4 linked regions of the Lonchura striata genome follow. The protein of the gene in region 2 interacts with the protein of the main gene of each other region in a biochemical or structural test. Links are inferred from orthologs where the notes say so. Each region holds a gene or a part of one and is shown on either strand. Other genes may lie near its edges.

The links.
Region 1: the proteins of PIN1 (region 2) and PKM form a complex in vitro, tested with the Homo sapiens proteins (2 studies listed by BioGRID, with this or other methods). The link is inferred for Lonchura striata from reciprocal best matches to the Homo sapiens genes PIN1 and PKM.
Region 3: the proteins of PIN1 (region 2) and WEE1 form a complex in vitro, tested with the Homo sapiens proteins (2 studies listed by BioGRID, with this or other methods). The link is inferred for Lonchura striata from reciprocal best matches to the Homo sapiens genes PIN1 and WEE1.
Region 4: the proteins of PIN1 (region 2) and PML form a complex in vitro, tested with the Homo sapiens proteins (2 studies listed by BioGRID and IntAct). The link is inferred for Lonchura striata from reciprocal best matches to the Homo sapiens genes PIN1 and PML.

What each region holds. Positions count from the first base shown.
Region 1 is NC_134613.1:7,004,093-7,012,055, reverse strand, and holds the start of PKM (pyruvate kinase PKM), read right to left. Parts: upstream 3,004-7,963; 5' UTR 2,871-3,003; intron 1-2,870. Other genes in the region: protein mono-ADP-ribosyltransferase PARP6, read left to right, coding at 6,064-6,210, 6,332-6,426, 7,283-7,343, 7,480-7,570, 7,660-7,726, 7,940-7,963. UniProt on the Homo sapiens protein: Catalyzes the final rate-limiting step of glycolysis by mediating the transfer of a phosphoryl group from phosphoenolpyruvate (PEP) to ADP, generating ATP.
Region 2 is NC_134623.1:1,532,951-1,540,558, reverse strand, and holds the start of PIN1 (peptidyl-prolyl cis-trans isomerase NIMA-interacting 1), read right to left. Parts: upstream 3,017-7,608; 5' UTR 2,989-3,016; coding exon 2,931-2,988; intron 1,852-2,930; coding exon 1,660-1,851; intron 462-1,659; coding exon 351-461; intron 1-350. Other genes in the region: CHCHD5 (coiled-coil-helix-coiled-coil-helix domain-containing protein 5), read right to left, coding at 6,493-6,618. UniProt on the Homo sapiens protein: Peptidyl-prolyl cis/trans isomerase (PPIase) that binds to and isomerizes specific phosphorylated Ser/Thr-Pro (pSer/Thr-Pro) motifs.
Region 3 is NC_134608.1:51,622,150-51,629,765, reverse strand, and holds the start of WEE1 (wee1-like protein kinase), read right to left. Parts: upstream 3,014-7,616; 5' UTR 3,002-3,013; coding exon 2,441-3,001; intron 549-2,440; coding exon 343-548; intron 1-342. UniProt on the Homo sapiens protein: Acts as a negative regulator of entry into mitosis (G2 to M transition) by protecting the nucleus from cytoplasmically activated cyclin B1-complexed CDK1 before the onset of mitosis by mediating phosphorylation of CDK1 on 'Tyr-15'.
Region 4 is NC_134613.1:6,278,850-6,285,794, forward strand, and holds the start of PML (protein PML), read right to left. Parts: upstream 3,012-6,945; 5' UTR 2,747-3,011; coding exon 2,160-2,746; intron 1-2,159.

The sequences.
Region 1 (7,963 bases), on a different chromosome or scaffold from region 2:
CTCAGCTCCTGAATATTTCAGACTGGCCATCCGAGGTCAAGACTGGGTTTTACTGCAGCCAGGTGAGTAATTCCAGCCAGCTCATCCCATAGGTCAGATGAGAGAAAGCCTAAAATCATAGTCTCTCTGGATATGCCCCTTGGGCATGGAGAAAGGAGGGGGAATAGCAACTCCCACCCATGCCCAAGTCTCTGCTGTTATTGGTGACAAAGTGAAGTAGAAACTGCAGCAAGGGCTGTCCCCAGGCCACAGCCAGAGCTGTGTCACTGCCTGCAGGAACTCCAGCCAGGAGGCTCCCAGGGGGTGATGATTCGGGATTTACTGGTCAGCCTCACTTACACAACCTCATGGATGCTGCAGAACAAGGCTGCTCGTGCCCAGTCACCCTGCCTGGAGGCAGAAATGGTTTGAGTTAATGCTCAGGGCAGGGTTATGAAATCAGGCAGGCCTTCAGATTCCCAAAAGAAGTCTAGAAAAACATCAGCCTTGCTCATTCCAGAAGCTAAAGGCATTCAACAACAGAGAAATGCAGCCCTGCAGAGAAGCAGGTTTTTACCCTGGCCTGACATCCCCTCTCCCAGGGACAGAGGACAGCACATTCCAGCCAGGCAGCTGGTGCTGGAGGTGGTGTCTCGCTGTTACGTAAGGACAAAATGGCCACCCCAAAATTCCACCCCTTTTCTGCAAGCCTGGATGGAACCCAGGAGCCACCACCTGCTCCTGGCTAGCCGACACTCTCTCCAGCACTGAGCTGCAGATCCACAGGAGGAGAGACCCACAACGGAGATGCCCCTCCAGCTTTTTGGCAATGGGGAACAGGAAGATCAGGCTGGTCTGGCACTTTCCCCGTGTCACGGCTGGCTGTGCTGCGCCTTTGCCGAGCTGCCCTCCCTGGAAGGCTTAACTAAAAAAATAAGAGGAGGTGGCAAGCATCGGATGTTTGGTGACGAGAAAGACTTATCTCGAGGGTATTTGTAGGACACACCTACAGGCTTAACCTTGCAGAGGACAGGGAGCCTTTCAGCTTAGCAAAAAGCACCTGGCTGCCTTCAGGCAAGCTGTAAAAACCTGCTTTACAAGATAAAAGCAAGCTTGGGGGTTTTCTTTTCACATTTAACTAGGCAGAAGTGTAGACCACAGCGCTGCATCCCCACTCCAGGATGGAGATTGCTGCACGTGGCAGCGCCCCGGTACTGCAGCCCCATTTCCTACGTGCCATCCATCACCACCCGCTGCGGCTCCATCTTCCACCAGGAGAACGAGGGCCAGACCAGAGATAAAGGACGAGCACGTGTCCAGCCGGCCTGGGAAACGTCTTACTCCCATCAAATTAAATTATCAATTTGTTGGGTGGAAAGGGAATTAAGGCCGGCGGTGGATCACTCAGGCTAACAGCAATAAATGAAAGTTTTAGTAACAGGTTTAGATAGATAAAATAGTAGGTAATTTAAAAAAAAAAAAAAAAAAAAAAAAAAACACAAAAAACGCAGGCTGCTGCAGACTCTCCAAGCTCTTTATCTAGTGCAAGTGAAGTTTCTCAGACAAGTTTCACAGGCAGAAGTCCCTGGTTCAAGCACGTGGCTCGCAGCAGTGCTTCCGGCCTCGCACAAAAAACTTTTGCTTAATCCGGTGATGGGCTGGAAACCTGCTGGCACCAGTACGGACCATTAACCCATCGACCTCCTTTTATATTAGCCAGAATTCTTCTCTATAAACGGGATCTCGGGCATAAAATTACACTCTTCAGAGGGTTTGATTTTTTTTTTTTAATTAAGCACTTCTAATTGCACAAGTTCCTGGATGTGTCTGAGTAACCAAAAATTTGTCTCTGCACCTTCGAGCCAAGGCAACTAATGATGAGCAGCAGGAAAATTAACAATTTAACATGACAAAACCTTCATAAAACACTGATTTTTTTTGTTAACCTGTGCCTCTCCGATACCGAGTTGCCTTATCAGAACAAAAGCAGGTTTTTAGATACTGCCGCCTACTTTTAGTAGTCTGAGGAGACAGTCGGGAGGTTGCTATTGTCCGCCGACAAAAGCGCTATTCATGCCTTGGTAGCTCTGCAAAGGGGGTTTAAACACGTTTGGAAGGTTTTCACAGTTCAAGAAACTGCCCAAATCAGTTGGACGTGCTTAAGCGGGCACAACTACGGGAGAAGATTAATTCAGGAAGGGCCTTCTCTTCCCGGGGGGGGCCGGGAGCAGGCTGCAGCATCGCTGGCGGGTGCAGTGAGCCGGACGGTGATTTAAGCCGATGCCCTTCGGGGAACTGCCGGCTCTTACGTGAGAGCAGGCGGGGTGGGGGAGGCGGCCTAGCGCCTCACTCCGTCTGCCTCTGACTCAGCCTCCAGCGGCTCGCTGCCCGCGCCGGGCGGCAGCCGCAGCGGCGCCCTGCGCTCCGCTTAACGGCACGGCCGCCGGGCACACGCGGGGCTCCCCGCTCCCGCGTGCCCCGCCTCACTAGCACCCCAAACCGTACCCCCGCCGCCACCCCGCTCCCGGAACGGCCGATTCCCGCTGTGGGCCGTGGGGAGATGCTTTGGAGCCGGCGTTCCTCGGCGTGGGATCGGAAGGGATGCTCGGAGCGGGCGCTCCCCAATGCTGGGACGCGGAGGGATGCTCGGAAAGGGCGTTCCCCGGTGCGGGATCTCGGGGGATGCCCGAGGCAGAGGAGGGGACGCGGGGCCGGGGCTGCCGGCAGCCACGTGCACGACGCCGCGAGCCCCCTCCTCAACCCGTAGGGCGCGCGCCCCCTCCCCTCAGCCGCCGCCCGGGGGGACCCTCTCCCGGCGGCGGAAACACGGGAATAACGGCGGTACCGGCGCGGCCGGCCCCACCGCTCGCAGCCCCTCAGGTCGCCGTTACCTGCCGCCGCTCAGTCACGCCGCTAACGCGTCCTCTCTCCCCGAGCGCCGCCGCCGCTCTGCACGCTGCCCCCACGCCCCGCCAAGGTGATCCCGGCCGGCCGCAGCACCGCCCCCCTCGGATCCCTCCGCCGCCCGCCCTGCCGGGGGCCGCAAGGGCGGGGCGCCGGGGCTACTTTCAGGGGCGGACGCACAAAGCACGGGGGAGGCGCTGAGTCACAGCACGCGCTCGGCCGGCCAATGAGGAGGCGGCACAGCTGCCGCGCGCGCGGACGGAGAGTGGCCGTCGCCTTAAAGGGACCGCGGCCCGGCGCGGCGCTCTTAAAGGGACCGCGGCCCCCCTACTCACACTGACACCCCCAGCTCACACCTCAGGGGTCCCTCACTCTGGGGGGGACAGCGGCTCCGGGTGTTTTGGGGTGCTTTGGAGGGTCCCGAGACCTTCCAATGGGGACACTGGCGAGCAGTGTGGAATCTCTGCAGTGGGGCTATGAGGACACAGTACTGGGAACACTGGGGACACGAGGCTGGAGATGCTGGTGACATGGTGCTGATGCCTTAAACAGCTGGAACTGAGGCTAGATGGTGTTAGGAAGAATAGAGTGGGTTTCTATTGAAGTGCCTTCAAAGGCCACACCCTGGCAGATGGCTCCAACATGGAAGGAAAAGAAGGCTTGGTCACGAGATCTGACATTTTTATAAGTTTTAGTCTTTTTGCATATAGGATTTAACTTTCCAATTAATAGCTCCAAATTATGAAGTTTCATCCTCCTTGCTTGCTTGCCTGCTGTACTCATTTCATGTTGTTTATGCTCTGGGCCTGAAGTTTGAAGAGCTTGTCCTTGAGTCTCCACCTAGAGCAGGATTGTTTTGTCTTCAGCCACCCTGTGAAAAGATCCCAGTAACACTCGGTATAAAGCTAAAAGTTGCACGCCAACACAGAATGGAAGAGAAAAGCTTAAAACCTAAGTAATCAGTGCTGGGAGTGCTGAGGACACTGTGCTGGGGTCAAGAGAGATCAGGCTGGAGATGCTGGGGCCACAGGGGACACTGTCCCAGCTGTGTGGGAACACAACATGGACACTGAATGGCAAATCCATGAAGGCCTTTGCCTGGTTGTACTGGGGACCCCGTGCTGGAGGTATTGGGGACATGATCCCAGAACCATGGGGACCTTTTGCCTGTGACCCATGACAGTGGCTCCACACTGGCACCGTGGTGACACTGGGGACATGCCATTAACACAGGGACCTGTCCCACAGACCCTGTGCTGGACTGTAGGGACGCTCTGACAGCCATCTGGGGACCCCAAATGTATGCTGGGACCACAGAGGGGTTCTGTAGTGGGCACATTGGGAAGCCTGTGGTCCATGGAGGGGACCCAAAATAGTCACCCTGTGCTGGGGAGCTGGGAGCCCTGTACTGGGGACGTTGGGGACTCTGTACTGGGGACACTGGGGAAACTGGGCTGGGACATTGGGGAGTCTGTACTGGGGACATTGGGGACTCTGCACTGGGGACATGAGGGAAACTGGGCTGGGATATTGGGGACTCTGTACTGGGGATGCTGTGAACTCTGTACCGGGGACACTGGAGAAACTGGGCTGGGGACACTGGGGACTCTGTACTGGGGACATTGGGGACACTGGGCTGGGGACATTGGGGACTCTGTACTGGGGACACTGGGGACTCTGCACTGGGGACATTGGGGACTCTGTACTGGGGACGCTGTGAACTCTGTACCGGGGACACTGGAGAAACTGGGCTGGGGACACTGGGGACTCTGCACTGGGGACACTGGGGACACTGGGCTGGGGACATTGGGGACACTAGGCTGGGGACACTGGGGACTCTGTACTGGGGACACTGGGGAAACTGGGCTGGGGACATTGGGGACTCTGTACTGGGGACATTGGGGACTCTGTACAGGGGACATTGGGGACTCTGTACTGGGGACACTGGGGAAACTGGGCTGGGGACATTGGGGACTCTGTACTGGGGACATTGGGGACCCTGTACAGGGGACATTGGGGAAAGTGGGCTGGGGACATTGGAGACTCTGTACTGGGGACATTGGGGACTCTGTACTGGGGACATTGGGGAAAGTGGGCTGGGGACATTGGGGACTCTGTACTGGGGACATCGGGGACTCTGCACTGGGGACACTGGCTGGGCTGCGGGAACGCTGTGGCAGTCAGGGAGGGGACCCAAAATGGTCACCGTGCGCTGGGGACACGGGGTCTGTGTTGGACCGTGGGGTCACCGCGAGGGAGACCCGCCATGGCCACCCCACGTCCCCGTGCTGGCCGGGAACCCCCGGCACGGGGATCCGGGGCGCTGCGCCCGCAGCTCCGGCCCCGCCATGGCGCCGCGCCGCCCCGGGGGGGCCCGGCGGTGACGTCATGGCGGCGCCGCCGGTGACGCGCGCGGCGGCCGTGACGTCAGGCGCGGCCCTCCGGCAGCATGGCGGCCGTGCCCGCGGCGGCCGGCCCGCGCTGACATGGTGAGGGGCCGGGACGCGGGAGGGGACCCGGGCACACGGGGACACGGCCGCGGGGCAGCGCGCCCGCCAGCGGGGCGGGACGGGCCCGCGGGGCTCGGGGCAAGGGAGGGGCAGCGGCCCTCGGTGTTCCCCCGGGGTCCCCCGGCTCGGGGCGGGGATGGGGCCGCAGCAGGAGGAGGGAGCCCCGCGTCGCGATCGGCCGGGCATCCCCGGCAGCTCCATGCGCAGTCCCCGTCCTGGTCCTCCATCCTGGTCTTCCGTGCCGCTGTTCCCATCCTGGTCCTCCATCCTGCTGATCCTGCTTCCCAATCCTGCTGTCCCATCCTGCTCTCCCACACTGGTTCTCCATTCCTCTGTTCCCATCTTGCTCCCCCACACTGTTCTCATCCTGTTCCCCCATTCCAGTGTCACCATCCTGATGGTCCATCCTGCTGTCTCCATCTTGCTCCCCTCTAATCTGCTCCCTCCATCCTCCCTTTCCCAGCCTGCTCCTCCATCCCACTGTGCCCCAAATTATTCCTCCCATCCCACTGCCCACATTTCACATCCCCATCCTGCTGTCCCCAAACACTCCCCCCAACCCCTGTTGTTCTCCCCATATTACTGCTCCCCCCAAATCGTTCCCTCAATCCACTGCCCTCAGCCCTCTCCCCAGAACCAGCTCTGCTGCCCCCTAATTCCCTCCCTGTTAATGTGCTCCCCTAATCCACTTCCCAACCCTCTCCCCCATCCCTGCTGCCTCCCACCCCTCCATCCCCAGGACCTCAAGGGCCAGTACTGGACGGACGATGACTCCGACGGGGACAATGAATCCGAGGAGTTCCTCTATGGCGTGCAGGTGGGTGCTGGGTCCCCCTGGTGCCACGGGAGGCTCAGGAAGCCCCAGGCTGAGCCTGATGCCAGGCCTGGGGCTGCAGGAGGCTGTGGGAGGCTCTGGGTGTGACGGTGCTGTGCCGCAGGGGACCTGTGCCGCCGACCTGTACCGGCACCCGCAGCTGGACGCCGACATCGAGGCGGTGAAGGAGATCTACAGCGAGAATGCCGTGGCCGTCAGGTGGGTGCAGCTGCTGCCCCTGCACCGGGCAGTGCCAGGCCCAGGCACGTGGCCGGGCCGTGCCAGGATAGCTGCAGTATCCCCAGGCATCCAGCTGTGCTGTCCCTGGGCACCCAGCTGTGCCATGCCCAGGCATCCTGCCTTGCCATCTCTGGGACACTTGGCCGTGGTATTACCAGAACATCTGGTCGCAGCATCCCCGGGCATCTGGTTGTGCCATCTCTGGGGCATCTGATCATGGCATCCCCAGGGCACCTGGCTGAGCCATCCCTCAGGCATACCCTCCCCAGGGCACTGGCCACAGTATGCCCTGAGTGCTTGGCCTTACTATCCTTGGGCACCCAGACATGGCATTTATGGAGCATCCAGCTGTGGCAGCCCCAGGCACTCATCTGTGCCATCTTCAGACACCCAGCTGTGCCATCCCTGGGCACCCAGCTATGCTGTGTCCAGGGCTCTCCGCTGTGGCATCACTGGGTCACCTGGCCATGGCATTACCAGACATCCAGCAGTACCATCCCTGGGCTATCTGGCTGTGCCATCCTCAGACATCCAGCAGTGCCATCCCCAGCACACCTGGACATGCCATTCCCAGGCACTTGACGATGCCATCTTGCAGCACCCAGTAGTGGTAGCCCTGCCTAACCAGCTGTGCCATCCTTGGGGCACCTGATTATGGCGTTACCAAGGTTGACATCTGCATTCTGGGCAATCCCCCTGTGCTTACACTTGATACACAGGGAGCCACACGTGCCAGTGTCACTGTCCCATGATCCTACCCCGGCACAGTGGGCACTGGGCCACTGTTTCAGCACCGTGCCACCCCCCCGTGCCACAGCAACGCGTGTCTTCACAGGGAGTATGGGACCATCGACGACGTGGACATCGACCTCCATGTGAACATCAGCTTCCTCGATGTGAGAGCCTGGGGTGCCCCCAGCAGTGCTGGGGAGGGCATGGGAAGGGTGGGCACGTGCGCCCCAGGGGTCTCCAAATCCGCCTGCCTGGGTGGAGCTCCCGTGGCTGTGCCCAAGTGTGTCTCTGCCTTGGCAGGAGGAGGTGGCGACGGCCTGGAAGGTGCTGCGGACGGAGCCCATCGTCCTCCGCCTGCGCTTCTCCCTCTCCCAGTACCTCGATGGCCCCGGTGAGTGGGGACGGGCGGGATGTGTTGTCCCTGTCCCTCAGGACAGGCACAGTGGTGCACCGATGGCTCGTCCTCCTCTCTCCCCACAGAACCGTCCATCGAGGTTTTCCAGCCGTCCAACAAGGAGGGCTTCGGGCTGGGTCTGCAGCTGAAGAAGTAAGAGCTGAAACATGGTGGGCACACCAGGGTAGCGGGTGGGGTGGCTCACAGAGTCACTGTTCTGCCCCAAAACTGGTCACGTGCCACACGTCCCCTCTCCACCGCCTTCTATCCACCACACAATCCTGTGACGGGCGCACCACCGTGTGTGGGCTCGGGGTGTCAATGGACCACCAAGCACCCATGGGCGCTGTCCCCCCTGTTTGCCAGGATCCTGGGCATGTTCACATCCCA
Region 2 (7,608 bases):
AACCCCTGAAATGGCTGATTTTAGGGATAAATCCCCTGGAATTGGATGGATTCTGTGAATTTTTGGGGAAACAACCCCTGAAATGGCTGATTTTAGGGATAAATCCCCTGGAATTGCATGATTTGGAGATTTTTTTGGGGGGGAGAAAAAGTCCTGAAATTGGTGGATTTGGGGTTTTTTGGGGGTGAATTCCCTGGATTTGAGGGTTTTTTTTGAGGGGGGATAAATGTCTTGGAATTCCTTGGATTTGGGTCTTTTTTTGGAGAGTAAATCCTCTGGATTTGGGGGGGTTTGGGGATGATTCCCCTGGAATTGATGGATTTGGGGATTTTTTGGGATGAATCCCTCACCTCTCCCGAACGCTCCCAGGTCTCCTCCAGCCTTGGCCGAGCTGCAGTCGCTGAACTGCGAAGCCAAAGACTCAAAATCCTCCTCTCCCGATTTGATTTTCTGGATGTAACCTGGAAGAAAAACGGGAAAACCCCAAATTTAGGGATCAAAACCACTCCCAAAATTCCCTGGGTGCCGCAGATTCCATGGGAAATGAGACAATCCCAAAATATCCTCAAATCTACCCCAAAACCAACATTCCTGGTTTTTTTTTCCCGAAAAGTCATCACTCACTCCCACTTTTTTTTCCCCCCCAAATTCACTATTCCCAGTTTTTTTTTCCCCAAAAATCGGTCATTTCAGGGAGCTTTTTTTTTCCCCCAAAAAAAAGGGAAAATTGGAGAAAAGAACCATCCAGGGAAGGAATTCTAGGATGAGTTTTGGGAAATGGTGGAATTTTAGGGCTGACTTCTGGGAAAAGGTGGAATTTGGGGTGGAATCCGGGGAGATCCCAAATCCTTTGGAATTCCTGGGATTCATTCCCAGAGTTTCTATTTGCCATTGGCGAGCTTTTATAAAGAATGTCCAGCTCCTGAGCTCATTAATGAAGCCCAGTATCCCCAGTATGCCCAGTATCCCATCACTCCCAGTATTCCCAGTACCCTGAGTATCCCATCATTCCCAGTATCCCCAGTATCCCATCACTCCCAGTATTCCCAGTACCCTGAGTATCCCATCATTCCCAGTATCCCCAGTATCCCATCACTCCCAGTACCCCAAGTATCCCAGTATCACCAGTATCCCATCAGCCCATCACCCCCAGTATCCCCCCAGTATATCCCAGTATCCCCCCAGTATCACTCCCAGTTTATCCCAGTATCACTCCCAGTTTATCCCAGTATCATTCCCAGTTTATCCCAGTACCATTCCCAGTTTATCCCTGACCATTGACGAGCTCCAGCGCCTCCTCCTTGGAGCGGGTGATGCGCTCCTGCCTCCAGCTGAGTCTCCCCAGTAACCCCCCAGTATTACTCCCAGTTTATCCCAGTATCCCCCCAGTATCACTCCCAGTTTATCCCAGTATCACTCCCAGTTTATCCCAGTATCATTCCCAGTTTATCCCAGTATCCCCCCCAGTTTATCCCAGTTTATCCCTGACCATTGACGAGCTCCAGCGCCTCCTCCTTGGAGCGGGTGATGCGCTCCTGCCTCCAGCTGAGTCTCCCCAGTAACCCCCCAGTATCACTCCCAGTTTATCCCAGTATCCCCCCAGTATCACTCCCAGTTTATCCCAGTACCACTCCCAGTTTATCCCAGTTTATCCCTGACCATTGACGAGCTCCAGCGCCTCCTCCTTGGAGCGGGTGATGCGCTCCTGCCTCCAGCTGGACGGGCGCCGGGACTGGTTGTGCTTCACCAGGAGGTGCGAGCAGCGCACCCGGCCCGGCTCCGCCCGGCCCGCGCCGCTCGGCCGCTCCCATTGGCTGGCGTTCGTCAGGTGGTTGAAGTAGTACACCCTGCCTGGGGGGTATTGATCCGCTATTGGTTATTGATTACTGATTGGTTACCGATCGGTATCAAAAAATTGGTTATTGGTACCAAAACCTCCTCACAGGCCCCAGTATTGACCCCACTGGCTGGCGTTCACCAGGTGGTTGAAGTAGTACACGTGTCCTGCAGGGTTACTAATCGGTTATCAATCAATATTGGTCGGCTATTGGTTATTGATCACTGATCATTTATTGATTTGCACTGATAAATCAGCTTATTGACATCAATTCCCACCTCAATGACCCCACTGGCTGATCTTTGCCTGGTGGTTGAAGCAGTACCCCCTCCCTGGGGAGCTATTGATCAAATATCAGTTATTGATTAATTATAGGTTATTGATCAGTGATTGCTTACTGATTGCTGCTGAAAATTGAGGTGATTAAACCCAAAATGCAGGTTAAGGACCCTAAAAATCCATTGAGCCCCCCCAAATTCCCTTCATGAGGGGGATCTCCCTAAAATTCCCCTCACCAGGGGGATCCCACCCAAATTCCCCTCATGAGGGAGATTCCCCCCCAAATTCCCCTCAGGAGGGAGATTCCCCCCCCCAAATTCCCCTCACGAGGGGAATCCTCCCCAAATTCCCCTCAGGAAGAGGATCCCCCCCAAATTCCCCTCAGGAAGGGGAACCCCCCTAATTCCCTTTGACGCCCCCCCAAATTCCCCTCACCAGGGGGATCCCCCCCCAAATTCCCCTCAGGAGGGAGATCCTCCCCCCCAAATTCCCCTCATGAGCGGGACCCCCCAAATTCCCCTCACGGAATTGCCCCCCCTCTTCCCTGAGACGAACCCCCCCCCCTCAGAACCCCCCTAAATTGGCGACCCCCCCAAATTCCCCTCACGACATTGACCCCCCCTCCCTGAAGCGATGCCCCCTCACGACCCTCCCTCAATTCGCCGCCCCCTCCTCAAATCCCCCTCACGCACCCCCCCCACCACGCCCCCTCACCCCCTCCAAAACCCAACCCCGCCGCCCCCACCGCCCTTTCCCACCTCCCCCATGGCCGCAGCTCCTTCCCCGCGCTTCCCCCCAGCCCTCAGGCCCTCACCGGAGCTGCGGCTCATTCGCTTCTCCCACCCCGCGGGCAGCTTCTCCTCCTCCGCCATCTTCCCTTCCCTCTGCCCGCCCTGCGCGGCCCGCCCACACCGCCACGCGGAGGGGCGGGCAAACCAGCGCTTCTCGCGTTCCTATTGGTCGGCAGAGACGATGCGCCCCTCAGGGCATCATCTTATTGGCGGAGCCGCCTGTCAATCAAGCGCGCGGTGAAGCCGAGACGCGCGCGGGAAAGGCGGGATGGTGGCCGTGCGTGGCTAAATTTAACCGGAACGCAAAGACGCAGCGCTGCCTCTACTGTGCCCGGTTAGAGCGTCCCGGTCCCACCGGAGCAAAGAAATCAACCGGAGCCTCCAAAAGCAGCTTTATTATCGACAAACCCAACGCTACAGAACGCGCGCGGCCGGTTTAAAGCCTCTACGTGGCGCCGGTTTGGTCACACGGGGGATGGGAGGGGGAGAACGGAGGATGGCGGAGGAGAACGGGGAACACCGGGAGAACCGGGGGGACACCGAGAGGCAGCCTCTCGTGGTCGTTCATCCCCATCGCGGAGCTCATCCGCAGCGGGGATTAACGGCAACGGGGCCGCCGCTGTGGCGGGCCCGGAAGTGACGTCACGGGCACGCCGGCGCGTTGCCTGGCAACGGCGTTTGTTGTTAGCAACGGCCAAGATGGCGGCAGCGGCCCGGGCCCCCTCGCGGGTGGGTACTGGGGGTTACTGGGAGGGACTGGGGGGGATCTTTGCCTTCCGTGGGGGGGCTCTGAGGGGTGGCTGGGGACAACGAGGATTGGGAGGGGACAAATGGCGCCCGAAGGCGCCGCAGCCTCGCCTCTTTCCCGCTTTTTCCTCGCCTTCCCCCCCCCCCCATTTCTTTCCCTTTCTTCCCCCCTTGCCCTTTTTTCCCGCCTTTTCCACACCTTTCTTTCCCTCATCCCCGCTTGCCCCTTTTTCCGCCCTTTTTTCCCCGCCTTTCTCCCCCTTGCCTTTTTTCCCGCCTTTTTTTTCCCGCCTTTTCTACCCCTTTCTTCCCCTCATCTCCCCCTTGAGCTTTTTTCCCCGCCCTTTTTTTTCCCGCCCTTTAAGTCTCCCCTCAGGGACCCGGCGCCGAGGGAAACTGGGAATGGGTCCACAGCACCGACTACAAATCCTCCTTCACGTGAGCTCCCAAAATCCCCAAATTCCGGCCAAAATCCCGGAATTCCGGCCAAAATCCCCAAATTCCGGCCAAAATCCCGGAATTCCGGCCAAAATCCCAAAACTCCACCCCAAAATCTCCAAATTCCAGCCAAAATCCCAAAAATCCACCCCGAAATCCTGAAATTCCACCCCAAAATCCCAGAATTCCGGCCAAAATCCCGAAAATCCACCCCGAAATCCTGAAATTCCACCCCAAAATCCCCAAATTCCACCCCAAAATCTCCAAATTCCACCCCAAAATCCCAAAATTCCACCCCAAAATCCCGAAAATCCACCCCAAAATCCCAAAATTCCACCCCAAAATCCCCAAATTCCGGCCAAAATCCCAAAATTCCACCCCAAAATCCCTGAATTCCGGCCAAAATCCCAAAATTCCACCCCAAAATCCCCAAATTCCAGCCAAAATCCCGAAAATCCACCTCAAAATCCCGAAAATCCACCCCAAAATTCCACCCCAAAATCCCCAAATTCCACCCCAAAATCCCCGAATTCCGGCCAAAATCCCGAAAATCCACCCCAAAATCCCAAAATTCCACCCCAAAATCCCCAAATTCCGGCCAAAATCCTGAAAATCCACCCCAAAATCCCAAAATTCCGGCCAAAATCCCAAAATTCCACCACAAAATCCCCAAATTCCGGCCAAAATCCTGAAAATCCACCCCAAAACCCCAAAATTCCACCCCAAAATCCCAGAATTCCGGCCAAAATCCCGAAAATCCACCCCAAAATCCTGAAATTCCACCCCAAAATCCCCAAATTCCACCCCAAAATCTCCAAATTCCAGCCAAAATCCCGAAAATCCACCTCAAAATCCCCAAATTCCACCCCAAAATCCCAGAATTCCACTCCAAAATCTGGGATTCCACCCCAAAATCCCAAGATTCTGTCCCAAAATCAGAATTTTGGGAAAAAGAAATTGTAATTTTGGGAAATTTTTGTAACATTCCCCCCTAAAAATCAGAATTTTGGGCGATTTCCCTCCCCAAATCTCGGGATTTTTGCAAAATTCCCCCTAAGAATCGGAATTTTGGGGGAAAAAATCGGAATTTTGGGGGAAAAAATCAGAATTTTGTGGGGAAAAAAATTGGAATTTTAGGGGGAAAAAATCAGAATTTTGTGGGAAAAAGTCGGAATTTTGGGGGGTAAAAGTCGGATTTTTGGGGTAAAAAAAAATCGGAATTTTGGGCAATTTCACCCCCCAAAGCTCGGGGTTTTTCCTGCATCCCTCCCTAAAAGTGTGAATTTTCCGTGGGAGTTTTTTCCCGTCCCGAATGCCAATTTTTTCCCCCCAAAATTCCAATTCCCCGAGCCCACAGAAACACAAATCCCCCCGAAAATCCCCAAAATCCCACATCCCCCACCTCCCTGCGGCCCCGCGCCAAATTCCCAAAAAAACCGGGAATTTCCCAGCGGAATAAACGGAATTTCCTGCTTCGGTTTGGCCAAATTTCAGATTTCTTTTTCTTTTTTTTCCCCAGATTTTTCCCAGGTTTTCAGGTAAAAATTCCCAATTTTTTTCTGGTTCTAAGAGGAAATTGGAGATTAAGAAATTTGGGGATTTTGTGATCCTGTTCCCCAATTTTCCCCCACCCTGCGTGAAATTCCCAAAAAAATGGGAATTTTTTTAGCAGAATAAACGGAATTTCCTGCTTCGGTTTGGCAGAATTTGCATTTTTTTTCCTGGATTTTTCCCAGATTTTCAGATAAAAATTCCCAATTTTCAATTTTTTTAAAAATTAATTTTAATTTTTAAAATTAATTTAAATTTTTTTCCCCCGGATTTTTCCCAGATTTTTGTGTGGTTTTAGGGTAAAAATCCTCAATTTTTTTGTGGTTTTAAGGGAAAATATTCAGAAAGTTGGGAATTTTTTAGCCTCGTTCCCAATTTTCCCCCACCCCACTGTGAAATTCCCAAAAAAACCAGGAATCTTTTAGTGGAATAAACAGAATTTCCTGCTTCAGTTTGGTCAAATTTGGGATTTTCTGCATTTTTTTCCAGGATTTTTCCCAGATTTTCAGGTAAAAATTCCCAATTTCCTGTGCTGATTATTGGGAATTTTTTGGGGAAATATCTCTTTTTCTTGGCTTCTTTTTTTTTAAATAAAATTAGGGAATAAAAAGTGGGGGGGAGGGGGCGAAGAGGAAAAAGTTGGGAATGAAAAGTGGGAAAAAAGGAGGAAAAATGGGAAAGAAAAGAGGAAAAAAAAAGGAAAAATGGGAATGAAAAGAGGAAAAAAATGGGAAAGAAAAGAGGAAAAAAAGGGGAAAAAATGGGAATGAAAAGAAGTAAAATCAGAATTTTTGGTCCCATCCTGAAAATTCCTGGGATTTTTATTTCTTCGATTTTTGGGATAAAAGCTCAGGCATCCGCAGGGAATTGGGGCTCCTTTTCCAGAGGGGAAATTCCCAAAATTTGGGAGGAGATTCCGGAAGCTTCTGAGGCTTTCCCGGCGTTCCCAGAGGGGTTTTCAATTCCTGGGATTTTCTGGGGAGAGAAAAAAAAGGGAAAAAAACCCAAAATTCATATTTTGGTCCCAAAATTCCATCCCAAATTTCCTCTTTTTCACTGAGGGAATAAAAAAAGCGGCACCGGGGGGGATTTGAGGGAATTCAGATAATGAAATCCCAAATTTCCAGCGTTTCCTGAGGGATAAAATCCCATTTTTATCCTAAAATTTTGGCTTCAAATTCCCTTTTTGGGGTTCCATCCTCACCGGTGGCCGTGTCCCTGGCTAAAATCCCGGTTTTTTCCCGGGATTCTCACCGGTGTCCCTGACTAAAATCCCGGTTTTTTCCCGGGATTCTCACCGGTGTCCCCGGCTGATATCCCGGTTTTTCCCGGGATTCTCACCGGTGTCCCCGGCTGAAATCCCGGTTTTATCCCGGGATTCTCACCGGTGTCCCTGGCTGAAATCCCATTTTTATCCCGGAATTCCTCACCGGTGTCCCCGGCTGATATCCCGGTTTTTTCCCGGGATTCTCACCGGTGTCCCCGGCTGATATCCCGGTTTTTTCCCGGGATTCTCACCGGTGTCCCCGGCTAATATCCCGGGATTCTCACCGGTATCCCCGGCTGATATCCCGGTTTTTTCCCGGGATTCTCACCGGTGTCCCCGGCTGATATCCCGGGATTCTCACCGGTGTCCCCGGCTGATATCCCGGTTTTTCCCGGGATTCTCACCGGTGTCCCCGGCTAATATCCCGGGATTCTCACCGGTGTCCCCGGCTGATATCCCGGTTTTTCCCGGGATTCTCACCGGTGTCCCCGGCTGAAATCCCGGTTTTATCCCGGGATTCTCACCGGTGTCCCCGGCTGATATCCCGGTTTTATCCCGGGATTCTCACCGGTGTCCCCGGCTGATATCCCGGTTTTTCCCGGGATTCTCACCGGTGTCCCCGGCTGAAATCCCGGTTTTATCCCGGGATTCTCACCGGTGTCCCCGGCTGATATCCCGGTTTTATCCCGGGATTCTCA
Region 3 (7,616 bases), on a different chromosome or scaffold from region 2:
AATTGCCATGCTAATATATTTGTCCTTTCTTTCTCCATGTTTCACACTTGTATTTAACACATTTTTTTTTTTCCTTCTGAAGAAAAGACTCTATGGCCCATTCCATGAGGGGAAAAAAGACCAGCACACAGCCCAGTCTATCCTCTCTGTGCAGTAATCAAAAGATCTAGTGCTAAATGATTATATCATGCCTCTTGAAGCACATACTTTAAGAGCTGTATTATACATTACTAACAACCTGCAAGCAAAAATACTTTCTTAGAAGCAATTTGTAACAAAATTTTTGCAGCCAAAAGTAGTTCTAAAATACAAGTTTAACAAAGGAAGGTACAAGTCACTCACTCATTCCAGTGTATTCTCTTCCTCCTACGACATTTGCCTTCAGAGTTGTGAAGGAACATGGAATCGGGAGTGAAGGGATTGATGTTCACATGAGGTGTTTGTCTAAAATCTTCCTGCTTCTCTGCTTTCCCAACATTCATAAACAGCGAGCCCCCTCGAAGTTTGACTGAGCTGGAGCCTAAGCCTTGTGCTTTAGAAAGCAAGCTCTGTATTTAAAAAAAAAAAGAAACAAAACCAAAACATTTAAAGTCACTTACAGCCGTGATATTACCTTAGACATCAAACAGTCAGGTTGTGCCTGAAGCCATCATTACAGTATTATCTAATTAAAGTCAGCATCTGTTGTTTAAATACCTGCATTTCCATAAAAAATAATTTCTAAGAAACTACTATGCTTTGTACACTACACAGAAACAGTTCAAGCAAACAAATATTAAAATTATTTTTCAAAGATAAAAGATGATGATGAGAGTAATCTTTTTCTTTCTTTAATAATTTCATCACCTAAACTTCCTGGACAAATATTTGTCCATTAAATGAGCACAGATAAAATTCAAGGACAATCCTGTACTGTACCACCATGATTTGCCCATGCAGGATCTGGAAGCTAGATCAGACATGGAACGATCTTTGGTTTCTACAAATTTAGGTGACAATCTTCAAAAAAAATAGCAAATACAACATTTAATATTTCCTGAGCCTACAAAAAACGGTCCAAGAATTAGCAGCATGGCTGCACTGTCATTTAAATATCCAAAATTGATCTTCTGGGTGGTGATTTGCATCTTCCAGGCACATAACAAAACCTCTCCCAGTTACACTGAAAAGTCTGCACCTGAGTCTCCTTCATCCTGGTGAGGATGGCAACGACTGGATCACAACCAGAAGGAGCACCTTATCCTAAGAACAAAATAAAGATCTGACAGGACTGAAGCCTAAACCACCACAGGGAAGAACACTCAGTATATGGGAATCTCGTCTGAAACAACTGAGCCTTCCAAAGATCATCTATGTAGAATTCGGCCCCCTAAATTAAGAATCCCACTGAACTCTTGTGTTAAGAACTTGTTTTTAGTATCACAAAACTTTGTCAACTCTGAAGCGTCTGCCCCTGACAAGGTGTAAACTCATGACCAATTTTACCTTTTACAAACATGTACCACTGATTTTTACCAGTGAAACCTCACTGGAGATGGAAGCTGTAGAAAACCAATTAAGAAGGAAGCCTTCCTCGCACCTTAAATCAGTTGTTTTCCATCTATAGTCTATACACCCCGGGAGATTATCCCCGGGGATTATCCCAGGATTACTTCTAAAGGGCTATACAAAAAGTAATGAAGAAAGGAAGTCAATTATGACTAGATTTAAATTCACTATACGCGATTTTACACAGCATCGAGTTCAAAAGCTGAAATGCGTTCCAAAAGTCTGTTATTGACAGAGTTAAGAGCTACCCATCTGTCCATCTAAACTTTGGACTCCATCAGCATCGACTGCTCAAAGAGCGTTTCGCGTTTGATGCAGGAGCGCGGCCGCTGAAGCAGCGCTGGCACACGGCAGGATCACAGCAGAGCCCGCCAGGCTGGAGAAGCCTCTGAGATCATCGGGCACAGCTCACGACCCAGCACCGCCGTGTTCGCCAGCGCACGGCACCGAGTGCCAGCTCCAGCCTCTCCTTAAACACCTCCAGGGACGGTGACTCCACCACCTCCCAGGTGATTCCATCATCCATTCCGATGACAAATCACCTTTCCTGTGAAGAAATTCCTTCTAGGAAATGCCAGCTCACCGCAGGATCACACCCCAAGCCGAGCTTTAACTTTCTGGCTACACCCCTACCAACGCCCACTCCACACTCCAGCACTTACTCTAGGAGTTTTAATACTCTACGCTCACACTTTTCAAACACGCTTTCCACAAAACACTGCCCAACTCGGAAAACTTTTTAGTTTCTATATGACTACCACCTAAGCAAGCGGCTCGCCCCGTGTCCCGTCGGGAGGCGGCGCCGCCGGACCCCGCCCCGGCCGGAGCCCCGGCGCGGTCCCGAGCGGCGCCGCCGTTACCGAACGGCCCGACCCGACCCCGCCCGGCTCACCTTGGGCGTGTGCGGCGTGTCGAACAGCCGCAGCTTGCGCAGGGTCTTGTGCGGCGGCGTGCCCGGGTAGTCGGGCAGCGGCGAGCCGGGCTCCTCGCCCCGCGCCCCCCGGTACCCGCCGGCCGCCGAGTGCGGCGGGGAGCGCTCGCAGCAGCGCCGGCCCTTGTGCGGGGCCAGCGGAGAGGGCGAGTCGAGCAGGAAATAGGCTCCGGGCGACTTGACCGGCGAGGAGCCGAAGCCTTCCTCTTCCCACGAGTCCCCCTCGTCCGGCAGCGGCGCCGCCGCCGGCTCCATCTCCTCCTCCTCCTCCAGCAGGGGCGGGTCGCTCCGCGCCGGGGTGCGCGCGGCCGAGAGCGGCGAGTCCGCCTCCTGGAACGCCGAGTCCTCGCCGGTGCTGTTGGCGCTGCCGCTGCCGCAGCCTTCCTCCTCCTCCTCTTCCTCCTCCTCCTCGCAGTCGCTGTGGCCGCTCAGGAACAGCAGCTTCTGCCGGATCGGGGCCGCCGCCCGCCGGGCCGAGACGCGCCGCGGCGGCGCCGCCCGCTGCAGGCTGAGGAAGCTCATGGCGGCCGCTCCGCCCGCGCCGCTCCCGCTGCGCTGCCCGCGCTCCGCCCGCGTGCGGTGCCGGTTCGGCTCGCGCTGCCCAGGAACGGTCCCGCCGCGCGCCGTTCGGACTCCGCGGCTTTCCCGCGACCGTTGGTCACGTGCGGCGCACGCCGGCCAATCGCGCCCGCCCACCAGGTTTGAAAACACGGCGCGCGGAGGCGGGGCCGCGCGCGGCCGCGTCACGAGCCGCTTTGGCGCGAGCGGGGGGGCCGGGCCGGGGCGGGGCCCCGCCCCGAGGCGGCCGCGCGGACGTGTCCGCCCGTGAGGTGCGCGCCCGGCGCCATTTTAGCCCCGGGGCGGCCCCGCCCGGGCAGCGGGAACCGCCTGGAGACGGCGTTCGGGGAGCGCCGGGATCACCGCGGGGACAGCGCCCTGCCCCGCCCGGGCAGCTCCGGGGGCAGCGCCCGGCGAGCCTGGGGACGCCGCGCCGCCCTGCGGGACTGCCGCTCCCGCTCCCCTGCAACGTGCTCTTGCTCCCGTAGAGTTGCTGGAACTGGAAAAATGTCCATAATGATAATACAGTATTTAATATATGATAACAACAATAATAATAACAGCACCTTGTGCGCCAGTTAAAGACCGTGTTTCCTTTTCTAAGCGCGGCCAGACGGTTCCTGCATTCCCAATAACGGGACGCACGTGGTTTAAAGGGCTGCGGCCGGCGCGCTGCCCGTGCCCGTGCCCGTGCCGTTCACTCCCGTAGGACGCTGCAGACGGACTCAGTCCCAGCACAGCCAAGCCCATGCACGGTGGGTGCTGCGCATCAGGCGTGTCTCCCTACAGGTGCCACCACTTTGCCTCGTGGTTTCGTCTTCTGTCTGATTACCCCCAACAGATCAACCCGTCCCTCTCTTCTGAACCAAATCACCTTAAAACGAGCCCCTTGGGTAGCAGAGCCCATGAAAAAACAGTTTTTTTTCCAGGCACGGGAGCCCCGAGAGCCCAAACACCGAGCTGGGTCCGCCCGCTGAGCCCCAGGCACGCAGAGCGCTCCCGGGACCGCAGGAGCGCCAGGACGCGTTCGCCTCGCAGCTGAGCGCGCCGGGACGCTCGGCACAGCCCCTCCGCCTCCGCAGAGCTCACCCTCCTCGCCCGGCAGGCAGTCCTCATGTGCTGCCCCTGGCACATTCCTAGACACATTCCTCGGACTCACAGGGATGTCAGTGTCCCCTGTTGCACTTCTGGCAGCTCCAAATTCTTTAACCTCTTCTGCCTGAAAATACCATTTCTCTGCAGAGAGCTGTCTTGGTTTTAGGACAAGCAGTGATGAGCCACAGGAACACAAGTTTTGAGATTTGCATTTTGGAGAAAACTGAAAACAAGTTTCAGAAAACTGAAAGTAGCCAACATCACCTATGAAAATGGGACAGAGATAGGGCTACATCAAGTCCAGTATAAACACACTTGGTGTGCAATAATTTAGAACTGCACTAACATCCCATTAAAATTAGTAATTTTTTAAAATGAGAGGCTCTGTATACAAAGTACTAACTGAAGCATTAGAATTTTAGATCAGATTATGTAAGAGGTTATTTAAAAATACAATCTCCACCACCTCTTTCTCCATTCAGAGCTCACAGAGGAAGATGCAAAGCAATTCTTATAAAGTGACTCAAAACTGCCCAGCCACTATCTGTGGCTTTCTTCAGTCATAAATGAAGTTTCCTTTTCTTTAAAAAAGTTCAAAGACTAAGCTTTCAGTAAATCCCTCCCCCTGTAATGTCAAAGGTTGCAGTTTCCCTCCCAAACTCAATGTAATATAACTCATGATTTCTGGAGTCTACAGACACAGGTATTTGGTGACAGCAAGTGACAAACTGAAGTTCAGAAGCTCTGTTGTAATTGAGTTAAACCAATTAAATACTAATCACTGGACCAGATTAGTGGGACAAAATCAAATGGTACAACTCAAGAATTGTACAGAGAAAAAAGTATTTCTGAAGGGAAAACAGGAGAGGAAAGGAAAAAAGGAACAGAGAAATAAGGAAACAATAGTAACACAATGCTTTTGAAACAAAGTTTATTTGCAATCTGAAAGCAATTAAGAAAGGGAAGTCGTGAATAAATACGTAGGTAACAAAATGCACAGCTGCTACGTAAGAGTTCACAGGCTCTGTGTAATTGCTGCTCTGAACTTGCACCCGTTGTTCTTTTGCTGTAGTCTGACAGGACTATGAACAGTTGTGTGGAAGAGATGACTTTTGCCCAGACTGAGAGTGGAACTCTGCTCCCCTGTCCCCTGTGACACCTGTAATAATCATGAGCCCCAGGAGCAGCCTGGCTAGAGAGCCCCACAGAGCCAATTCCATCCCAGAGAGCAATGGACATCACCACAGGAGGAAGAAGCTGAGTGAGGAGCTCTGCAGGCCTCCACTGTGCCACACTCTCCAAGCCAAAACATCCCAAATTCTCTGAAACTGATTAAATTGCACTTTTGAACTGCTACAGATCTTGCAGACTCAAGCCCTGATTCTTCCAATAGACATAACAGCACACAAACTGATGTCTAGGCAGTGCCTGACTGATATTCCTACAAATTTGAGTGGTTTAACGGTTTTCAGGATATATATTTGCAACATTGGTTCTTTTCCTTCTTATAATACTTGTTTTTAAGCTGCACTGAGGATTTTGCTACTAGAAGTATTTATCTGTCTGTGAGCAGTACAGACTCACAGGCAAACAGCTGCTTTTAACTAGGAGCTTTCAAGCCCAAGGAAACCATTGTTTCCAACTTTTGTGGGTAGCAGGGGAAGTCAAATAAAAATGGGGAAGAAAGAGAACAATGGCCAATTTGTCTGGCCGTCAGAACTGCCAGAAAAGTGGCATTGCCATCTTGTCAGGATTCCTGCACTTGCAAGCTCATCTGGAATCCTCCGAAAGCACTTCCATCAAATTGGAAGAGTTCTGCCAAAATCTGGCTGAAACCCATTCTACATCAGCCAGCATAATTCCCCTTATCAGGGGAGGTGTAAATGGAGTGAAAGAGCAGAAGAGGAAGCAGGTAAAGCTGCTTTTATGAAAAACAGAAACACTACAGGCACCTGTGCCAAGGCCGTTGGTGGAGAACTGAGAGCAGAGAGAGATTTTTGCTGTTTTCCCAGCTTTTATCTTGGTTTTCAGCAGGTACCCAGGGACCAGTGTGCTTATCACCAGTGCCAGCAATAGCATTCCAGTGCTCACACAAGACTTGACATATACAAGGACAATAGGTCCCAGTGGGAGTGTGCCAGCTGGGAGATGTTGTGTCTGGGCCACTAACAGCCTAAAGGTGAGCAGTTTATTTTATCTGGGGTTGTGCTGCTTACAGCTGCTGTTAGCTGGCAACCTCTTTCTCTTCAACTACAAGGTCCAGAGTTAAATGAGTTTCCCATCAGAAATGGACTTTGTATATACGACATGGCAATAGCTGATGCTGCCAGTCCTTGTTCTCTTTTTATTTTATAGTCTGCAGGCAGAAAGAACATTTCTCAGGGAATTATTCATCTAGGAACTCTAAATATTAACAGCAAGAGAAAAAGGTAGAGAATAGAAAGGGGAATTTGACAGCATCAGAGTTTCCACAAAGTAAAGAACAGCTTCTGGATCCAAAATCTAGGAATTTCAGGGAAGATCCAAAGGTACTTAGAAGTTAAAATGTACAAAGTACATTTAAAAAGTACAGGTTGTGCCAAGCAGTCACATACAATTCAATAATTGTCTATGACAATGAGAGCACACACTCATGATAGTTCTTAGTGACTCCCTTTTTTGCTTTTAAGTCTGCCTCTTAACACTTGAAATCTGCTTAGCAAGAAATGGCAAAACAATCTGTTCCTGAGAGTTGTCTTCAGGTAAGAAATTTCCTCCAAAATATCTGAAGAGTGGAAGAAACAGAATGATTGCTATGACTGAAACAGGTACAATTAGAATGTCCCATTCCTCTGTTGAGCCCAAGTTAAAATTATCAAAACAAATATTTTCTACCAGCAATTAAAAACCTCAGTGGATAATGCAGAGAAACAAAGTAGTCACTACACTACTAATTTACCTCTATTACTAACCTGTTTCCTTTTTCTCCTTCAGGGAACATGCAAAACCATAAGAGAGGTACTGTACCTTTTTTTTTTTAATCTACTGCTCTTCTTCTAATAAGCTCTTATGGGCATCATTCAAGGCAAGACATTTTACAAGCATTTTTTAGGTGTGCAGATAAAAAGATTTTTAAAAAACCTGTCTCTTACTGTTTTGAATATATCTGTTTAAAAACAAAAAGCATCTAATCTCATCTGTTCTATAAACCATTCTTGCACTTTCTAATTTTTTAGTCATTACAACCTATATTCAAATCTGAATTAGCCCTACACCAGGGAATAAACCCCACTGGAGATGTAGCTTTGGACCATTGTTGTACCTCCAGGAGCTTTTTACATCCATGTGGGTAGTTTCTGTTGTGCCAGCAGGCCTGCCAGGTGTTGGAAAGTCAGCCTCTTTGCCTTGTCTTGCCTCATTAAGATGCCTGTTCAGAAACTTCTCAGCAAATCCTGCAGAACCAAGCAGTAACGTGATGGAGAGCCTGAAAGTCTCTTGAAAAATA
Region 4 (6,945 bases), on a different chromosome or scaffold from region 2:
ACTGGGGACAGGATGAGATTTGGGGACAGGACAGGATTTGAGAACAGGATGGAATTTGGGGACAGGATGGGATTTGGGGACAAGGGATTTGGGGACAGGGGATTTGGGGACAGGACGGAATTTGGGGACAGGACGGGATTTGGGGACAGGACAGGATTTGGAGACAAGGGATTTGGGGACAGGGAATTTGGGGACAGGACGGGATTTTGGGGACAGGATAAGGTTTGGGTACTGGATGAGATTTGGGTACAGGATGAGATTTGGGGACTATGACATTTTGGGACAGGATGAGGTTTGGGGACTGTGTGACATTTTGGGACAGGATGAGGTTTGGGGACTGTGTGACATTTTGGGACAGGATGAGATTTGGGTTCATCCCACTCCTGCACATTCCAGGCTGGAGCATCACCCCCAAACCTCCTGGAGCAGGGTGGGATTCGGGGGCAGGACAAGCTTTGGGGACAGGACGAGATTTGGGGATGGGGAGGTTTTGGGGACAGGACAAGATTTGAGGACAGGACGAGGTTTGAGGACAATATAAGTTTTCGGGCCATGGCAATGTTTGGGGACAGGAAGAGTTTTGGGGACAGGATGAAATTTGGAGACAATTGAGTTTTGGGGACAGGATGAGATTTGGGGACAGGATGAGATTTGGGGAGAGGATCTGGGGCCATGGCAATGTCCGGGGACAGGCCAAGGTGTGGGGAGAGTGTGAGATTTGAGGACGGGACAAGGATACGGGACCAGATGAGATTGGGGACAGGACAAGATTTGGGGACAGGATGAAGTTTGGGGACAAGATGAGACTTGGGGATGGGATGAGCTTTGGAGACAGGACAAGGTTTGGGGATGGGATGAGATTTGGGGACAGGACAAGATTTGGAGCCAGGACAAGATCTGGGGCCAGGACGAAGTTTTGGGACCAGAACAAGATTTGGGGCCCGTGTGAGATTTGAGGACAGGATGAGTTTTGGTACCAGGACAAGATCTGGAGCCAGGACAAGATCTGGGACCAGGATGAAGTTTGAGAACGGGACAAGATTTGGGGCCAGGACAAGATCTGGGGCTAGGACAAGATCTTAGACCAGGAAAGATCTGGGGCCAGGACATGGCTTTGGGATGGGACAAGATTTGGTACCAGGACAAGCTTTGGTACCAGGACGAGGTTTCAGGATGGGACAAGCTCTGGAGCCAGGACAAGCTTTGGTACCAGGACAAGATCTGGAGCCAGGACAAGATCTGGAGCCAGGATGAGGTTTTGGGATGGGACAAGCTTTGGGGCCAGGACAAGCTTTGGTACCAGGACAAGATTTGGGGCCAGGAAGAGATTTGGGGACAGGACAAGATTTGGGGCCATGATACAGTTTGAGGACGGGACAAGATCTGGGGCCAGGATGAGGTTTCGGGATGGGACAAGCTTTGGAGCTAGGACAAGCTTTGGTACCAGGACAAGATTTGGGGCCATGATACATTTTGAGGACGGGACAAGATCTGGGGCCAGGACAAGGTTTCGGGATGGGACAAGCTTTGGTACCAGGACAAGATCTGGGGCCAGGATGAGGTTTCGGGATGGGACAAGCTTTGGAGCTAGGACAAGCTTTGGTACCAGGACAAGATCTGGGGCCAGGACAAGGTTTCGGGATGGGACAAGCTTTGGTACCAGGACAAGATCTGGGGCCAGGACGAGGCTTTGGGATGGGACAAGATTTGGGGCCAGGACAAGCTTTGGTACCAGGACGAGGTTTCAGGATGGGACAAGCTTTGGGGCCAGGAGAAGTTTTGGTACCAGGACAAGATCTGGAGCCAGGACAAGATCTGGAGCCAGGACGAGGTTTTGGGATGGGACAAGCTTTGGAGCCAGGACAAGATCTGGGGCCAGGACGAGGTTTTGGGATGGGACAAGATTTGGTACCAGGACAAGATCTGGGGCTAGGACAAGATCTGGAGCCAGGACGAGGTTTCGGGATGGGACAAGCTTTGGAGCTAGGACAAGCTTTGGTACCAGGACAAGATCTGGGGCCAGGATGAGGTTTTGGGATGGGACAAGCTTTGGTACCAGGACAAGCTTTGGTACCAGGACAAGCTTTGAGGCCAGGACAAGATCTGGGGCCAGGAGGAGATTCGCGGTGTCGCCCGCAGCGGTGCCGAGGCGCTCCCACCTGCAGACGCGGCTCTCCTCGGGGTGGCTGTCGCTGGAGCAGAAGAGGCTGCAGGAGCCGCGCGTGTCCTCCAGGAACTGCCGCGCCGAGCCCGCCCGCAGCTCCTCCACCCTGCGCACCCTGTGCGCCTTCTTCTTGTGCCACCACTGGTGCTCCTCCAGGCAGCGCCCGCACAGGAACTCCTCGCACTCCTGGCACCAAACCAGCGCCGCCTCGGCGCGGCAGTGCCCGCAGCCCGGCCCGCCGGCGCTGCGGATCTGCCGCCAGAGCTGCAGGCGGCTCCGCAGGTTGCAGAAGAGCAGGTTGTCCACGGCGGGCACGGCCGCGGCCGCCCGGCAGCGCGGGCACTGCTTGGTGTCGCTCAGGCACGCCGGGCACAGCGTGTGCAGGCAGCGCAGCAGCCGCGGCTGAGGCGACTCCTGCCCGCAGCCGTCGCAGCGCAGGAATTGGAAATCGTCATCTTCTTCCTCCTCATCCTCGCCCTCGGCGGGGTGATGGGGAGGGGAGGCCGGTGCCGGGGTGCTCGAGGCCGGGCACGGCTCCGGCTGCTGCTCCGGTGCCGCTTGTGCCTCCGGTTCCGTCTCCATCTGCGGGGATGCGCCCCCGGGATGGAGCAGGTCGGGGGTCGGAGCTACAGATCCCGCTCGGGGCTCTGCTGTCCCGCCCCTCGCTCCCTCGCCACCCTCCCGAGCTCTCGATCTTCCCGGAATCTCGGGTTCCCGAGCGCCGGTGGAAGTGAAAGTAAAACGCTTTCCGTGCCGCCATGGCCACCGCCCCTTCCTGCCCCGACAGAGGGAAAAGCCGGGACACCCGGACCCCAAAACCTCCCTGGCTGAGACCCCAAAACCCCCTTGGCTGAGACCCCAGAATCTACCTGGCTGAGACCCCAAAACCTCCCCGGTAGCAACCCCAAAACCTCCCTGGCACCGACCCCAAAACCCCCTTGGCAGCAACCCCAAAACCTCCCTGGCTGAGACCCCAAAACCCCCTTGGCAGTGACCCCAAAACCCCCTTGGCAGCAACCCCAAAACCTCCCCGGTAGCAACCCCACAATCTACCTGGCACCGACCCCAAAACCCCCTTGGCTGAGACCCCAAAACCTCCCTGGCTGAGACCCCAAAACCCCCTTGGCTGAGACCCCAAAACCTCCCTGGCTGAGACCCCAAAACCTCCCTGGCTGAGACCCCAAAACCCCCTTGGCTGAGACCCCAAAACCTCCCTGGCTGAGACCCCAAAACCCCCTTGGCTGAGACCCCAAAATCTACCTGGCAGCGACCCCAAAACCCCCCCGGCAGTGACCCCAAAACCCCCTTGGCTGAGACCCCAAAATCTACCTGGCAGCGACCCCAAAACCCCCCCGGCAGTGACCCCAAAACCTTTGGCTGGGACCCCAAAACCCCCCCGGCAGTGACCCCAAAACCTTTGGCTGGGACCCCAAAACCCCCCCGGCAGTGACCCCAAAACCTTTGGCTGGGACCCCAAAACCCCCTTGGCTGAGCCCCCGAAGCCAAGGGAACCCCCTTCCCACCCCGCCCTAAAAACGCACCCGGCCCCTCTCCCCGGGCAGGGGCTCCGGTCTGTCCCCGGGACCCCCCAGGTCCCCCCCGGGTCCCCCCCCCGGGTCCCCGGTCTGGCCCGGGTCTGTCCCGGGTCTGTCCCGGGTCTGTCCCGGGTCTGTCCACGGGTCTGTCCCGGGTCTGTCCCCGGGTCCCTCCCGGTACCTGCGGGGCGCGGCGGGGACGGGAACGGCGGGAGGAGGAGCGGGGAGAGGGAGGGGAGAGGGAGGGGAGAGGGAGGGACAGGGAGGGGACAGGGAGGGACAGGGAGGGGACAGGGAGGGGAGAGGGAGGGGAGAGGGAGGGACAGGGAGGGGACAGGGAGGGGACAGGGAGGGGAGAGGGAGGGGAGAGGGAGGGACAGGGAGGGGACAGGGAGGGGACAGGGAGGGACAGGGAGGGGAGAGGGAGGGGAGAGGGAGGGGAGAGGGAGGGACAGGGAGGGACAGGGAGGGGAGAGGGAGGGGAGAGGGAGGGACAGGGAGGGGACAGGGAGGGGACAGGGAGGGAACAGGGAGGGAACAGGGAGGGGAGAGGGAGGGGAGAGGGAGGGACAGGGAGGGGACAGGGAGGGGAGAGGGAGGGGAGAGGGAGGGACAGGGAGGGACAGGGAGGGGACAGGGAGGGACAGGGAGGGACAGGGAGGGGACAGGGAGGGGACAGGGAGGGGAGAGGGAGGGCGGAGCTGTGAGGCGGTGCCCGGGAATGCGGGACCGGGAATTTGGGATCAGGATCTGGGACCGGGATGGGGATTTCAGATCGGGATGTGGGATCAGGATGGGGATGTAGGATTGGAATGGGGATTCTGGGACTGGGAAGGGGATTTGGGATCGGGATGGGAATTTGGGATTGAGGTGTTGCCTAGGGTTGGATCTGTGGGATCGGGATTTGGGATGCAGGGATGGGGAGCAGGATATGGGATCAGGATGGGCACTCTGGGACCGGGATGAGGATTTGGGACTGGGATGGAGCCTGGGAAAAGGATTTGGGATCAGGATGTGGGATTGGGATGGAGATGTAGGATTGCAATGGGGATTCTGGGACTGGGATGGGGATTTGGGATCGGGATGGGGATGTGGGATCGGGATGGGGATGTGGGATTGGGGTGGGGATTTGGGATTGGGGTGGGGACTGTGGGGCTGGGATGGGGATGTGGGATCGGGATGGGGATTTGGGATCGGGATGGGGATGTGGGATGGGGATCTGGGATTTGGGATGGGGATCTGGGATTGGGGTGGGGACTGTGGGGCTGGAAGGGGACCGTGGGGTCGGCTGTGGGGTCGGGAAGGGGATCCCGGCCCCGGGAAGGCGCCGCCGGAGCCGGGACGGGGACTTGGGGACAAACCCAGCGGGGCTGCCCTGCTCCCAAACCCCATCCCAAATCCCAGATCCCGCTCCCAAACCCCATCCCAAACCCCAGATCCCGCTCCCAAACCCCATCCCAAATCCCAGATCCCGCTCCCAAACCCCATCCCAAATCTCAGATCCCGATCCCAAACCCCATCCCAAATCCCAGATCCCGCTCCCAAACCCCATCCCAAATCCCAGATCCCGATCCCAAACCCCATCCCAAACCCCAGATCCCGCTCCCAAACCCCATCCCAAACCCCAGATCCCGATCCCAGATCCCGATCCCAAATCCCAAATCCCAATCCCAAACCCCAGATCCCGATCCCAGATCCCGATCCCAAAGCCCAAATCCTGATCCCAGATCCCGATCCAAATCCCCATCCCAGATCTCGATCCCAAATCCCAAATGCCAAATCCCCATCCCAAATTCCCATCCTAAATGCCGATCCCAAATCCCAAATCCCAATCCCAAATGCCAATCCAAATCCCCATCCCAGATCCCAATCCCAAATCCCTGTGGTCCCAAATGCCGATCCTGATCCCCGTCCCAAATCCCAGATCCAGATCCCAGATTCCAAATCCCAAATCCCAAACCCCAAATCCCAAATCCCCTTCCCAAATCCTGATCCCAAAATCCCAAATCCCGATCCCAAAATCCCCAATCCCGATCCCAAATCCCCATCCCAAATCCCAAATGCCAAATCCCCATCCCAAATTCCCATCCTAAATCCCGATCCCAAATCCCTATCCCAAATCCCAAACCCCAGATCCCAAATCCCAAATCGCGATCCCAAACCCCAGATCTCAACTCCCCATCCCAAATCCCGATCCCAGATCCCAGATCCCAAATCCCCATCCCAGATCCCCATCCCAAATCCCATATCCCAAACCCCAGATCCCGATCTGAAATCCCAAATCCCGATCCCAAATCCCTATCCCAAATCCCAAACCCCAGATCCCAAATCCCCATCCCAAAACCCCAAACCCCAAATCCCTATCCCAGATCCCAGATCCCCATCCCAGATCCCCATCCCAAACCCCGATCCCAGATCCCAAATCCCGATCCCAGATCCCAAACCCCAAATCCCGATCCCGTTCCCGATCCCGATCCCAAATCCCGATCCCGATCCCGATCCCAAATCCCGATCCCGATCCCGATCCCGATCCCGATCCCAGATCCCAAACCCCAAATCCCAAATCCCGATCCCGATCCCAAATCCCCATCCCAAATCCCGATCCCAAATCCCCATCCCAAATCCCGATCCCGATCCCGATCCCGATCCCAATCCCGATCCCAAATCCCTATCCCAAATCCCAAACCCCAGATCCCAAATCCCCATCCCAAATCCCCATCCCAAACCCTGATCCTGATCCCGATCCCGATCCCGATCCCAGATCCCAGATCCCAGATCCCAAATCCCGATCCCAAATCCCGTTCCCGTTCCCGATCCCAAATCCTGATCCCGATCCCAAATCCCGATCCCAAATCCCAAATCCCGATCCCAAATCCCCATCCCAAATCCCGATCCCAATCCCAAACCCCAAATCCCGATCCTGATCCCGATCCCGATCCCGATCCCGATCCCAGATCCCAAACCCCAAACCCCAAACCCCAAATCCCGATCCTGATCCCGATCCCGATCCCGATCCCAGATCCCAAACCCCAAACCCCAAATCCCAAATCCCGATCCCGATCCCAGATCCCAGATCCCAAATCCCGATCCCGATCCCGATCCCGATCCCGATCCCAGATCCCAGATCCCAAATCCCGATCCCGATCCCGATCCCGATCCCAGATCCCAAATCCCAAATCCCCATCCCAAATCCCGATCCCGATCCCGATCCCGATCCCAAATCCCGATCCCGATCCCGATCCCGAG